Linked DNA regions of Xenopus tropicalis. The protein of the gene in region 1 interacts with the protein of each later gene in a biochemical or structural test. Links are inferred from orthologs where the notes say so. Each region holds a gene or a part of one and is shown in the gene's direction. Other genes may lie near its edges.

What was found. The genes of interacting proteins can lie anywhere in the genome.
Region 2: the proteins of ocrl (region 1) and rab8a form a complex in vitro, tested with the Homo sapiens proteins (2 studies listed by BioGRID and IntAct, with this or other methods). The link is inferred for Xenopus tropicalis from reciprocal best matches to the Homo sapiens genes OCRL and RAB8A.
Region 3: the proteins of ocrl (region 1) and rab31 form a complex in vitro, tested with the Homo sapiens proteins (2 studies listed by BioGRID and IntAct, with this or other methods). The link is inferred for Xenopus tropicalis from reciprocal best matches to the Homo sapiens genes OCRL and RAB31.
Region 4: the proteins of ocrl (region 1) and rab5a form a complex in vitro, tested with the Homo sapiens proteins (2 studies listed by BioGRID and IntAct, with this or other methods). The link is inferred for Xenopus tropicalis from reciprocal best matches to the Homo sapiens genes OCRL and RAB5A.

Annotation. Positions count from the first base shown.
Region 1 is NC_030684.2:52,492,662-52,496,211, reverse strand, and holds part of ocrl (inositol polyphosphate 5-phosphatase OCRL), read left to right. Parts: intron 1-1,588; coding exon 1,589-1,776; intron 1,777-2,742; coding exon 2,743-2,854; intron 2,855-3,431; coding exon 3,432-3,541; intron 3,542-3,550. UniProt on the Homo sapiens protein: Catalyzes the hydrolysis of the 5-position phosphate of phosphatidylinositol 4,5-bisphosphate (PtdIns(4,5)P2) and phosphatidylinositol-3,4,5-bisphosphate (PtdIns(3,4,5)P3), with the greatest catalytic activity towards PtdIns(4,5)P2.
Region 2 is NC_030677.2:104,435,900-104,439,449, forward strand, and holds part of rab8a (ras-related protein Rab-8A), read left to right. Parts: intron 1-74; coding exon 75-164; intron 165-1,401; coding exon 1,402-1,467; intron 1,468-3,354; coding exon 3,355-3,405; intron 3,406-3,550. UniProt on the Homo sapiens protein: The small GTPases Rab are key regulators of intracellular membrane trafficking, from the formation of transport vesicles to their fusion with membranes.
Region 3 is NC_030682.2:104,653,627-104,657,176, forward strand, and holds part of rab31 (ras-related protein Rab-31), read left to right. Parts: intron 1-991; coding exon 992-1,073; intron 1,074-1,857; coding exon 1,858-1,929; intron 1,930-3,138; coding exon 3,139-3,245; intron 3,246-3,550. UniProt on the Homo sapiens protein: The small GTPases Rab are key regulators of intracellular membrane trafficking, from the formation of transport vesicles to their fusion with membranes.
Region 4 is NC_030682.2:45,578,560-45,582,109, forward strand, and holds part of rab5a (ras-related protein Rab-5A), read left to right. Parts: intron 1-1,457; 5' UTR 1,458-1,551; coding exon 1,552-1,717; intron 1,718-3,550. UniProt on the Homo sapiens protein: The small GTPases Rab are key regulators of intracellular membrane trafficking, from the formation of transport vesicles to their fusion with membranes.

The DNA of each region.
Region 1 (3,550 bases):
AGGGGAGCCCTCATGCTCTACATTATAGTCTTATGCATTGATTTTCCAGTTGTCTGATAGAAGATATAGCAGCAATAAATGCTGCCATTAAATATATGCACCTGACCAGAATTACCCAAACCAAGGGATGAATGAAAGTTTCAACAGCAGTAGCAAGGATCACAGTTTCTTTTTGAAGTATTTGTTCTGCCTGGATGGTTAGGGTCCAGTGAATAATACTACTTGTGCTTTAGAGCCAGAGAACCAATTTCCAAGTCTCTTAACATGGAAAAATCTTTATATTTTAAACTACTTAATTACTGCTACTTAGAGTAGTAAATTAAAATCCTATCTACTCTATTAGCAGTTTGAGTATTTACTGAAAATGATTAAATGCTGCCACATTGTGTACTTGTCTGTACAGTATGCAGGCATAGTTTACATTGTTGGGGACTTTCATATTTTTTCATTAGAGGGAACACACACAAGCAAGCGATTCATCTCCTATAGCTGTAAAGCCTTAACTATTACTTAAAGTTGGCAAGTAAATCAGTTTAATAGTATACAGGTTGGTAGTCAGCGTGTTCTTTATAGACCATGCAAGGAGGATTTACCAGATACAAGCACTTTTAATAGAACTGAATATTTAAAATGTACTTTTTTGGCCAGGAAGTAAACTTCTTACTTTTCATTTAAATGTTAGTCATATATATTTGCGTACACAAAGTAAGTCTCTAGACACTGCTTTATCTACACATACAAAAGGTTCCTGCACTTCTGTCAGCAGCAGCAATGCTATTTGAATTTGGCAATTTCATTTCTCTTATCACCCTGGGCCATTGTGGGTTTTTCATCCTAATGTCTGACAGCAAGGCGTGATGATCATGCTAACTGCCAACTCCTTTCATTTGGGAAATACTATTGCTATGCCACATTTTTTTTTAACTATGATACTCCTGTCACTGGGTGTGTGTTCAGTAACCAGACAGAAATGTGTCCTTTATTTTAGGCAAATGCACAAAAAACAAAATGTATTTGTAAAGTTGCAGTACACCTTTTTCATCAGTAGTACACAGTACTGTAAAACAGTAACCCTGCAAGCACAATCTTAGAACTCTAGAGCTAAATGCCAAAAAAATCTGTTAGCATCCTTTTATAGCCCAAAGACCATTCTGTGCTGCCACCAGGTGGTGAGTATCTACCCTATCATTCAAAGAGGCTTGCCCTCCTTTAGGAAGTGGCTGGTCTGGGAGCTCTCCGTAAGTACTTCTGTATGCACAAGTGGCAAGCACAGCTTTTAATACACGGTTGTTTCCGCACCACTTAAAACACAGTGCATCGAAGGCACAAAGAAAAACTGACCTAAATTAGAAAATTAGCCTGAATTAATACTATAGCAAAGTTTTGAATTTAACACATAGACAAGCTCTATAGACATTAGCTATTTGCTTAGATTGCTTACCAGCAAAGTTAATTAACATTTAGGGATTAACAAACAAAACTTTTTAGAGGAATTCACTTCATCACAACTCCTTAAACACAAACCTTATAAACTCTGTACGTGTTCTATTCATGTATATATTTATCCTTACCTTCTGCTCACTTTTAGGGTAACAAGGGAGGTGTTGCCGTTAGATTTGTTTTCCACAACACCTCCTTCTGTTTTGTTAACTCTCATCTGGCTGCCCACGTGGAGGACTTTGAGAGGAGAAACCAAGACTACAAAGATATCTGTGCCCGTCTAAACTTTACTGTTCCAGACCAGAACATACCTATTTCAAATATAATGAAACATGAGTAAGTTCCACTGTAGCTATAAGTGTGCTGCTTTAAAAAAAAAAAAAAAAAAAATTTTGATCAGGGTACTATTCTCTGCAGTGTAAGTGAAAGGAAAGTAGTGCAGAAATTGTTCATATACACCAGGAACAACTATTCTTAGTAACCTGGGGTGCAAATAAGCACCGATCATTTTCTATTTCAGGACATAAAATCTGTTCTAAATGTTTGTAAGAGCATGCAGAAATATATGGCATGGCAACAATGCATATTTTTATCCTTTTCTGGCTAATGTTTTGGCCTAACTCCCTGGCCATCTTCACTCTGAGTATGGGTCACCTCATAAGACATATTTGAAGGTTGTCCTGCAGTTTAACAGATTGCAGTCACTCTTTCTCGACACTCTAGCCTTCTGGGGCTTTAGATTGGAACATGGCAAGACTCTACTAAATGAAGGCCTTATCTCTGTATAATTTCTCATTACAGACACCCATTTGCCAGATAAGCAGCTCAGTGCATTCACATTTAAGGTGGTCATACACGAGCAGATCCGCTCGCTTGGCGATGTCGCCAAGCGAGCGGATCTTCCCCCGATATCCCCACCTACGGGTGGGGGCGATATCGGGGAGCATTTAGGTTAAAAAAAAATAATCTGATCGTTTGGCCCTGGGGCCAAACGATCGGATTATGTGGGCGGCAATGGGGCAGTCGGATCGGGGACCGCATCAACGAGCCGATGCGGTCCCCGATCTGACCAGATTTTCTAACCTGGCCGATCGAGATCTGGCCAATTTCAGGCCAGATCTCGGTCAGCCAGGCCGCTCTGCTCTCCCCATACACGGGCCGATTAGCTGCCGAATCGGTCCAAGGGACCGATATCGGCAGCTATAGTCGGCCCGTGTATGGCCACCTTTATGGTCTTGTTAACATTTTCTCACAGCAATGTTTTTCTATACTTTATTGCTTTAACTATATTTTCTTTTGCAGCGTTGTTATTTGGCTGGGAGACTTAAACTACCGTCTGTGCAAATTTGATGCTGCAGAGGTCAAAAGCTTGATTGCGAAAAATGACATTCAGACTCTGTTGAAATATGACCAGGTAAAGAGAGGAGGGGTTGAGTAATCAATCTGCACACTAACTGTGTACAGATGGAAAACATTCGCTAACTATGTTCCACAGAGTCAAGTACTTTGGCAACATTGTGGCACAGTGGGTAGCACTGCTGCTTTGTAGTGCTGGGTCCTAAATTCCCTTCTGTCCATGCCACTACCAGCAAGGAGTTCTTGTTTCCCTTGTGTATGTGTGGCATTCTTCTGGGTACTCTTATTTCTTGCCACACTCCAAAAATATTCATATTTAACATAGGTTTATTGACTCATGGTAACATTGACCCTATTGTGTCTGTGTTGCTTAGTTTGTTGAGTTGCTTAGTGAAAGTGAATTACATGAAAGGATTATAATCAATAGATATTTTTTTTTCCCCCGCATATAAACAAAATTCTGTTAAATGGTGCACCATGTGATGAAAGTTTGCTCCATCTGTGTGTGCTATCCCATTTTTCATGTATATATCTAATAAGGTTTGTAATTCTCATGCAATTATTTGTTCTACTGTGTAAAGAATAATGGCTTTATTTTCAATACATTTCTTAATTAGTGCCTTCATTTCATTTAGTTGAATATCCAAAGAGAGATGAAAAACGTCTTTTCTGATTTTACGGAAGGCACTATCAATTTTATTCCCACATACAAGTTTGATGCAAAAACAGATCGATGGGATTCCAGGTAGGTATA
Region 2 (3,550 bases), on another chromosome or scaffold:
TTTGATACCATCATACTATTCTGACTGACAAGTTCTCGATGCAAATATAAACCTTTACACTCTTTGCCTTCCAGCATGCATCCTCTGATGTTGAGAAAATGATCCTAGGAAACAAATGTGATGTGAATGAAAAGCGACAAGTTTCCAAAGAGAAGGGTGAAAAGGTAAGAGTTATTTAACAGTTTTGGTGTTCTGATATCTGAGCTTAAAACCCATTAAGCTGTGAATAGGTAAACGAGCTATGAGGTCCTGTTTGGGTACATTTAAAAATATATGAAAAATAAGTTTCCAAATGCTTTATAACAATAACCAATCTTTAGCCCTTTTAAGTAGAAGAAAACTCTGAGCATTACTCTGCCAGGGCATAAAAATAGTGCATATCCACTCGCCAATCATCCCCCCCCCAAAAAAATATATATATATTATATATATATATATATATATATATATATATATATATATATAATTTATTTATTTGGCTGGTGTCACATGTGCTTAATGTAAGTGCTCCTGTAGTCCAAATTAGACTTGACATATTAAAGGAAGAATGAAGAGAGGAATGATGTTGTCAGTGGGATATATGTGCAAGGATATTCAGGGCAGGGTCATGTTAATACATGTTAACAGTTTTGCATAAAATAAATATGGTGTTGGGCAATGGGAAAGGCTGAGCAATTGTTTCTCAGTTTCCTTGGACTTTAATTTAAGTATTAACCTCAGGAAAATAGAATCTGGTGCATTTTTTTGTTCATATAGTTTAGAATATTACCCAGTATGTAGTAAGGTGAATATTGAAAGAATGAGGCTAAAGGATAGAGACATAAGAATGTGGTGCATTTGTTTAAAATATTTAGAGAAAATATAGAAGCATATCCATTACCAATTTTTTTTTTTCTGCCTCAAATAACTTCAATAGCCAGCACAAAACAGCATGCACTCGTCGGACTCCAGGACAGCGGATAAAAATTCAAAAAAGCTTTATTAAGGATAAAAACCTAACGGTTAGGTTTTTATCCTTAATAAAGCTTTTTTGAAATTTTATCCGCTGTCCTGGAGTCCGATGAGTGCATGCTGTTTTGTGCTGGCTATTGAAGTTGAATCTCCCCATGCTGCGGGTCTGGGGCATGGCACCCGGGCCACCAAAAGGAAGTGGTGAGTGAGCATCCTGCATTTTGAACTTACATATGAGCATAAATTCCCCAGAACAAAGAGAGAAAAAAGTGATAAGCGAAAGGTTTGCGGCATAAGCACCCGAACCTACTAATTAACTGGGTGAGCGCGAGCGCTAATTGAAATATAAATCAGTTTTTTTTTATCTGTAGTGGGAAGGACTGTGAGCCCCCGAACAAGCAAATAGTACAGTGCCTCAAATAACTAGCAATATCACTGTTTGTATTTCAGCTGGCCCTTGAATATGGAATTAAGTTCATGGAGACAAGTGCAAAGGCAAATATCAATGTGGAAAATGTAAGTAGACTGAACGTGCTTAATTCAGTAAGCGGGGAGAGTAATGTTCATTGGTAGACACCCTTAAAGGAACAGTAACACCAAAAAAATTCAAGTGTATGTACTGCTGCTCTGCACTGGTACAACTGGTGAGTTTGCCTCAGAAACACTACTATGGTTTATATAAAGAATGCAGCTGTGTAGCCATGGGGGCAGCCATTCAAAGGAGAAAAGGCACAGGCACTTAGCAGATAACAGAAACACTATTGTATTCTACAGAGCTTATCCGTTATCTGCTATGTAACCTGTGCCTTTTCTCCTTTTTTCCAGCTTGAATGGCTGCCCCCATGGCTACACAGCAGCTTATTTATATAAACTATAGTAGAGTTACTGTAGCAAACACACAACTTTTACCAGTGCAGGGCAACAGTACATTATATTTCTTTTACTTTAAAACTCTTAAATTTTTTGGTGTTACTGTTCCCTTAACAATCAAAACAGGTTAAAGTGAAGAGTGGTCAGCAAACAATATAGTCATAGGTTTTCTATAGTCAAAAAGGCAGTGGGTGTTTTATAGAAGTCCGAGCATTTTTCTGCAACTTTCCATATTCTTTCGTATCGGCAAAAAAAAAAGAAAAATCTGTAGTGCTGTGTAGTGAGAAAAAACCACGCAACATGGTACTGTACCCTGTGCCTGATGGCTCTTCATTGATGCAATCATTACCCAGCACTATAGGACAACCAATGGGGCACCAGAAAACGCCGGGATATTTTTTGGGGTAGAATGTTAACTCCCAATATTTATAACAACCCTTCCATATGGCCTTTTTGTTGTCTGTTTTGCCTTTTTAACCCTTTGTGCAATGGACTTAGTAACAGTTCCACATGTCAAAATAGAGCCCTGAAACATAGAATCTATAGTGTTGGTATGATACTTTTATGCGGACACAATAGTAGTTCCAAAATGGAGGCCCAAAGCTGCATCTAAGTGGGTCCAGGTTATGGTAAGATTTGTGGAATACCTATGCAAGTGTATGTATGAATATGAGTTTAGGGGGCCGTAACCAGAAATAATAACCTATATGTGTCTGATCTTTGTGTGTTGTGATTTATGTATGTATTTATTCCTGGAGAATCTAAAATAAATTTTTGTATGTTTTTAAGAAACCTCCACTTTTACTTCATGTTTGGGGTCAGTGTTTTGCCAGTGTTTTCATCTTTCTATATAGAGATACAAAGGGGCACATTTACTAACCCACGAACGGGCCGAATGCGTCCGATTGCGTTTTTTCCGTAATGATCGGTATTTTGCAATTTTTCTGAAAATTGACGCAACTTTTTCATAGCCATTCCGAATGTTGCGCAAAATGTTGCGATTTTTTCGTAGCCTTACGACTTGCGCGAAAAGTCGCGACTTTTTCGCAGCTTTCGCGCCGAGTACGAAAGATTCAGATTCATTCAAGCTTCAGCATGGTGACTTTTCTTGGGCCAGGTTGGAGCTGCAGGGTGCCATTGAGTCCTATGGGAGGCTTCCAAAATCATGCTAAGTCTGAAAGTTTCGCCCGCCGCTTACGAGCGCTCAATACGAAAAAGTCGCGACAAGATACGAGCGAATCGTAATGGCTACGAAAAACTCTCGTTTTTTCGCGCAAGTCGTAATGGTTACGAAAAAGTTGCGACAATTTCCGAAAAGTCGTAAAGGCGACTAAAAAATCGCAAAAAATACGAAAAAGTCGCAAAATGTTCGTTTTCCAGTCGGAATTTTTCCAATTCGAATTCGTGTCTTAGTAAATCAGCCCCAAAGAGTGTTTATTGTTGTCTAGTACTTGTACTATATAGGCAAGAGATTAAAGGAATCACCCACTCATAGTATTGCTTTTGATATCAAGTTCTTCTATCTTTTCACAGGCATTTTTTACATTGGCAAGAGACATCAAAGCAAAAATGGATAAGAGGATGGTAAGTATAAGTATTTAATGGCTGCTTTGTGCTCCTGTGCCAGATATTGGTACTAAAAAGCAGGTATTTAACACTTAATTTCCCACACTGGTCTGGGTTTCATAGCTTGTTCTTCCCTTTATTCTAATGAGGGTTGGAGTAGAAC
Region 3 (3,550 bases), on another chromosome or scaffold:
TACCATACATGCTGTGAATGTCTTTATTAGGAGTGGTAAATAGCAAACATCCACAGTTGCTTGCATTTGTTTTCCTGTTTGCCACTTCCAACTAAAATGCCCCAAGAGATACATAGAATTATTTAAGTTTACTCACAATTATTTACCAGTTGTACAAAGTGCTGGGTTAGGCATAGTCCATATAGAAATACCAAATGCAGGCTGCGCTGTATTCATGGAAAGGTCTTTGCATCTGGAGTACAAAGACCTTTCCATGAATACAGCGCAGCCTGCATTTGGTATTTCTATATTGACGATAACAATGTTGGCTCTTTAAGTTTTCCAGGAGCAGCTTTTTGTCACCCCAGGTAACTTCAGGGGTGCTGCTGCCATGAAGTGAGTTGAAAAACTCACCTCAGACAAGTTATAAGAAACTGCACCAGCCTATGAAAACGCTACCTAAGCACTGTGCTGGCATCTCAATACCTTTGATCATTTGCCACTTGGTGTTCTGTGCATTCGCAGTAGATTAGACCTGCGTGCACAAACACAGATTTTCCCAAGTAACTCTTGGGATGCCAGTAGAAAGGTAAGTAAAATGCTGGTGCAGCATTTAGGGAGGTTTTTCCACAGCAATCTATTTCACCCCCCAGTGAAATACACTTTACATGTCCCATAAGTACAGATCCACCAGTGGGATTAGTAAATGAGGCCTACAGCTTTTAATGTCTGTGATATGGTCCAGGGGTTTTTATTCCATAATATTTACAACTGGGGTAGTAGCAATGTGGAAAAGTTACATTGATCAGAAGATTAATGTGTCGTCCACCGGCTCTCTAATGTGCCTAGTTATTTATAAAGCTAATTGGTTGCTATGAGTTACCCTACGTACAAATTTGCTCATAGAAAAAAAATACTATTATACTGATATTTGCCCCCTTTTTTGATTACAACCTAAAACAATTTTCTGTTTTCTCCACCATAAAAAAACGATCCTTTTTCTCTCACACAGGGCTTCATTTATGACGAAGACTGTTCCTTCTGGAAATGAGCTGCATAAATTTTTGATTTGGGATACTGCTGGTCAAGAGCGTGTAAGTATGTAAACGTTTGTATGGGAAAGTTATTTGACTTTGTTTATTAGTGTAATAGCATATAAAGCTATCTATTGATAGCATTATAGCAAAAAGAAATAAAAATTGTTGAAAAATATATTCTGCATATTCATATAGATATAGATGGATATAGAAATCCACATATTCTGCCATTACAGCACTTCTGTAATTTGGAGCACTGTGCCAAACGTCTATTAAAAAATGGTGAAATTAAAAAAAACCTGATAGATTGTATTCTGACCAATACAGACATAGAAGATCTGGAAAAGAAGCAGCAATAAGAATTTTGAGCTTAAAATGTACTGTTAAATAGTTTCTTCCCATGTTTCTGCGCTTTATGCATAATGGGTTTCTAGATAACAGATCCAATCTTTGCTTCTTGACAGATGTTGGGGATAGACATAACATTGTACCACTGGGTAGAGGGATACTGGAGGAATGATCTTTATTTAGGTTAGGGTGCTGGAAGATTAGGATAGATTTCAAAGTGTCCAAAGTGTGGGGAACTCAAAGGTAGACTTCAAACAACAAATGGCTGGGGCCCAGAGAGGCTGATCTTAAAAGGGCTATAGAGAGAATACATGTGAAATATAAAGGGTATATTATATCACCTACTGCAATTTTTATTAGGGCATAGTGTGTCATCCTGATGTATATCGCAAGAATATTAAAAAGTAATTAAAGATTGTTTTAAATTGTTTAATTTTACTGTGATCCTTATTTTTTTATATGTTTTAACGCAAACAGTAATATGTAATTCTAGTTTCATTCCCTGGCACCAATGTACTACAGAGGCTCTGCTGCTGCAGTTATCGTATATGACATCACAAAGCAGGTTGGTTAATGAATATAATAGTGTATACAGTAATGGCGTTAAATACCCCAATACCCAGCTGCCCGTACACCCCTAGCATCATAGTTGATTTTGAAGTCGATGGCTACCCCTGCATGTGCCACTTGCCACCTTACTCTATGACGGAAACATTCCTGCACCCTGAAGCCTGTAGCTAAGGGTTTAGAGATGGAGGAACCTTCATATGTAAAAATCCAGGCTGGAAAACTCTTGTGAAGAGCTTGTGAATATCAAGGTGTGGCCTGACAGGGTTTAGGCTAATTGCACATTTGTCACTATTTTATACACCAGTGAAAAACTTGATCGACTTCCTTAACCTTGTACGTGTGTGTGATGTTGATAGGCATAGATCTGCACACACACAGCAGATTTTAGAAAGTCCAAGATCAGTTCTGGCTGATCCTATGCTTGTCAATACACGGATACGAGAGACAGAAAGCAGCTGATTGGATTTTAGTAGTGCCAATGCTGAGTTTTAAAGTAAAGGAGCCACAGCAGGGCAGAAAATTAATGAAACTAAACAACAGAAGGTCAAATACGGGCCTACAAGAAAGCAATGCACGTGGGAGGACAGGGCAGAACATTAAGGTAACAAGGCAATAGGATACCAGAACGCAGAACCATAGGAAGGACTGGGTAAGGCTGAAAGGCAAGACACTGCAGGGCATTATTGACCCACTATACATTACAGTTTTCCTGCTGAATTGGTCTTAGCCTTAGGGAAACACCAGAGGTGATGTAGTTTAATGGTATCAATCTTTATAGCTATAAAGAAACCTTGAGAGTTATCTCTGCAATGGAGAGATCAATTTAGAGTCCAGTTTGCCCCGCCCAGTAATGCTTCCTCTGGTTTATTTTTAGGGGGTTATAACATAGTGGGCTATAGGAGATAATAAGAAAAGTTATGGCAAAGAAAATCCAAAAGACCATGGCTGATAAAGTAGGGAGAAGGTGTCAGCTGAAACAGCACCTTTATAGAATCTAAGGGAATAAAGCAAAAAGAAAATGATTATACATTTACAGAATAATTTCCATTTACATATTAAATTACAACCCCCCACATCCTCACTACAGCTTTTGGCTTTGATTTCCTTCATTGACAGGGTCCCACTATTAGTAAATATAAAAAGGAATGTTGAAAATTCTATGTGGTGGAAACACTTTTATCTTCTTTATTATGTTGGTAAACAGGATACCTTTCATACACTAAAGAAATGGGTAAAAGAATTAAAAGAACATGGACCAGAGAACATTGTTATGGCCATTGCTGGAAACAAATGTGACCTGTCTGACACTAGGTAATTAAATCAATATAACTTTGTTTTTTCAGTTACATTGTACATTATATACATAATATATAAAAATGTCAGTGTATTAATGTAACATTCCCATGTGAAAAACAAACTATGGCTGTATTTATTTTTTTGCAGAGACTTCTCTTTGCTTTATTTGAAATGTATGGAGAACTTATGTTTTTTAATTGCAGTGGGCTGTTGTGCATCTACCACAGAATTTATTAACAATTTAATGTCCGTTGGGTCAACGTAAAAATTAAAATTAAAAATTGTGAATCCATTTAATGAGAAGTGGACAAATCTGGGTC
Region 4 (3,550 bases), on another chromosome or scaffold:
TGTTTAGACCAAGTGTTAACTTGTGTTGCTCTTTTGCACATAAGTACACTGTACAATATAATTTAATTTGATTGTCTGTGTTTTAGGCATGGATTGTACATCTGGATGCCCTGAGGGCCCTCAAAGTGCTTTTCTTGGCCACCTGTCTGCCCAGTGGCTCAACAGGCTTAAAGGAGAACTGGAGCTTGCTAAAAAAAAGTAGGCTAGAAATGCTACACATTATATTTTGAGGTTCTGTATCAGCTCAAGGCAACCACAGCCTTTTAGCAGTGAAGATCTGTGAATCCGAAGTTGTCCCCAGTAGCTCCCCATCTTCTTTTCTGCTGATTCTCTGCACATGCTCTGTGCTGCTGTCACTTACTGAGCTTAGGGACCCACTCACATTATACTGTATGTAGAGAATATAATAGTCACAATTTAAAGACTGATTAGTAAATAATTAAAATTCTCATCACATGGCAGCTCAGAAACCAGTGCAGTGAATATCAGAATTTAATAGTCAGCCCGGTAGCATCACCCTATATGACAGACAAACCTTATTTTCTGTTTGATAATTTGCTACAATCCCCAAGTTTAGCTTGTCAGCAGTTGCTCACTGATTTTTTTTTTTAGGAGTGTCTGTAAAACTGCACATGCTCAAAGATGGTGATTTGCATTTGTCTGAATCATTACTGTTGTATAAGTTATTAAAATTTAGGCTTGTGCAGTATTATAAAATATGGCATTTCTACCCACATTTGTTTTTACTTTTTCTCTAAGGTGGCCATACATAGCGTGTATATGGGCCCCCCGGTGGGCTTATTCAACTGATATTTCTCCAAAAATTAGCTACATGTCATTTCGGCTGGTTTAATTTTACTGTCTGATAAGGACCGTATTGGTTTGTTGCTGCGGTCCTCATCTGACTGCACTGTAGGCCCATCTGTATATTGAGAAACCTTTGAAAAAGTAGGTCAGATTTTTAAACCCCACAGATGCAACTGCTGAAGCCATAAGGGGTTCCACAGAGAATTGTCTGCCTATTGGCCTATTGTCCACAAATATGCATATTGTATACATTTTCTGGACTAACTCTTCATTACCAATATCTTCTATAGCTTCCCAGTCAGTGGTAAGAATTTGCTTACTACATTTTAAGACATGGGATGCTGGTATCTTTGGGTATTTGTAGCCTTTAAGGAGGTTATGTAATAAAAAGTATAATTACCTGTTATTGTCTGCTGTGTGTTACTGAACCTGGGTAACCCTTTTTCCCCTCTCTTTCATATGTACTGTTATCCATTTTTCTCTGTTGGTGGATGAATGTTTTCATTTTACTCTGTTGGTGGATAAATGTTTTAGTTAGTGTGTTTTTGGTTTTGTTATAACGGAGTAGCACTCAATAAGGTTTCTAAAATCAGTCATTTATTTGGATGTTTGTATATTAATACACACTGTATTATGTTCTCATTTAATAGATTGCCAGAAGGATAAGTGAGCATCCAACCCACCCTTTGCTTATTGGGCTGCAGCCGACTTTGTAATCATCAGACGTTTTGCCTACAATCAAACATGGCAAACCGAGGCGGAGCTACCAGACCGAATGGACCGAATGCAGGAAATAAAATCTGTCAGTTTAAACTTGTCCTTTTAGGAGAATCCGCAGTTGGAAAGTCTAGTCTAGTGCTTCGCTTCGTAAAGGGACAGTTTCACGAATTCCAAGAGAGCACAATTGGAGGTCAGAGAAATATTGCAAAGTATTACAGCTGTATTTAAAAATGTAATCAAAACATCACAAATATATACATTATATATTGAATGGTACCCCAAATTATTAGTCACCAAGCAGTTCCATGACCATTTAAAATAATGAGGCCACAGGCAGGGTCCTGGAACTCTGAGGTGACTTTATACTTTACAATAGAAAGTACTTTATTAACAATATAGTGGGGATGCATGAATTCAGGATTCGGCATTTTCCAGCAGGATTCGGCCTAATCCATGCCTCTGGCCATACTTAGAACACGTTGTTCTCTATCCCCTTCTTCATCTCCGTTTGCATATGGAAATTTTAGGATTCAGATTCGGTCCAGTATTCGGCTGAATCTTTCACAAAGGATTTGGGGTTCAGCCAAATCCTTATAATGGATTTAGTGCACAGGTTTCCCTAAATGAAATTGAAGTTTAAAACACTGTTTAACCCTTTCTGTTCAACTGGACTGTCTCTTAAAACTGTAACAGGAGCCAGGTCTATAAATCAGCTTTAATTAGCTGGCTTGCAACATTGTTTCTGTAGTCCGAGCCAGGAGTGCTTTTAACTGCAATTACATGTGCAAATACTGTAAACCCACTGAAATCTATAAATGTTAAGTCGCTCATGATTGTATATGCTTTTATCATGCAAAAAATAGTTTTTGTGGGGAGGATGCCTTTAAGGCTAGAGTCATATGAGTGATTAGGTCATTTGGTGTGGCCTAGCTGCTTAGGTGAGGGCTGGGCAGGTACACTGCAGGCTCACTGCTGACATTGCAGAACTGCACACATCATTTGTTGAATGAGCTGCTGAGTATCCAATTACCTTAAATCAATCGTTAATCTGATATCTAGAGCTATAGGGCACCAGCCAACATAGTTGTGTGTGAGAGGGTGATATGTCTTTGCCTTACTTGTGTAAATTCTACTAAAGGGTATATAAGCTTAAAAACAGATATTTATGTAAATGTATTCATAATACTTCTCTGAGAACTCATGAAATTTACTTTCACTTTTCTGAGATATTGGCAGTTTTAGACGCTTCGGCTCAGCAGCTCCCTTTAAAGGCCAAATGTGTCGTAACAAACCTGTCTATGCATTAGATTTCCTTTAATACTGTGATTTATAACAATTTGTCTGTATGACTCCCATTGCTGTCATTTGGTAACACTGGACTGGTTTAATTCCTGATCAGATGGAAAACTTCAGAGGAAAATGTAACGTTGCTTTTCTCTGTTTTGCACACACTTTATGTTGCTCTTTATTATGTTTAGAATATCAGGATCTGGAGTTAGAGCCAGATTACATTTTACCACCCATGTGCCCAAGTAACCAAGAATATAGATAGCAGTTTACATAATAGGCTTATCATTATACAGGTATGGGGCCTGTTATCCAGAATGCTTGGGACCTGGGGTTTTCTGGATAAGGGATTGTTCCGTAATTTGGATCTCCATAATTTAAGTCTGCTAAAAATCCTTTAAATATTGAATAAACCCAATAGGATTGTTTTGCCTCCATTAATTATCTTAAATATCTTAATTAGGATCAAGTACAAGGTAATGTTTTATTATTAGAGAAAAAATGGAAATCACTTTTAAAAATTATAATTATTTACTTACAATGGAGTCTGTGGGAGACAGGCTTTCCGTAATTTGGAACTTTCTGCTACCAGCTGCAGTTCTGCAACTCTCGCCATTTCCCTGCAGCTGGAAGGCCACAGGCTGTGGAAGTCTTTTGGTAATATTTAAAATGAACTATAGAGGGGCTGTTTCTGTGATATTACTACACTGAATTTTGGTCCTTTTTTGATTTTATA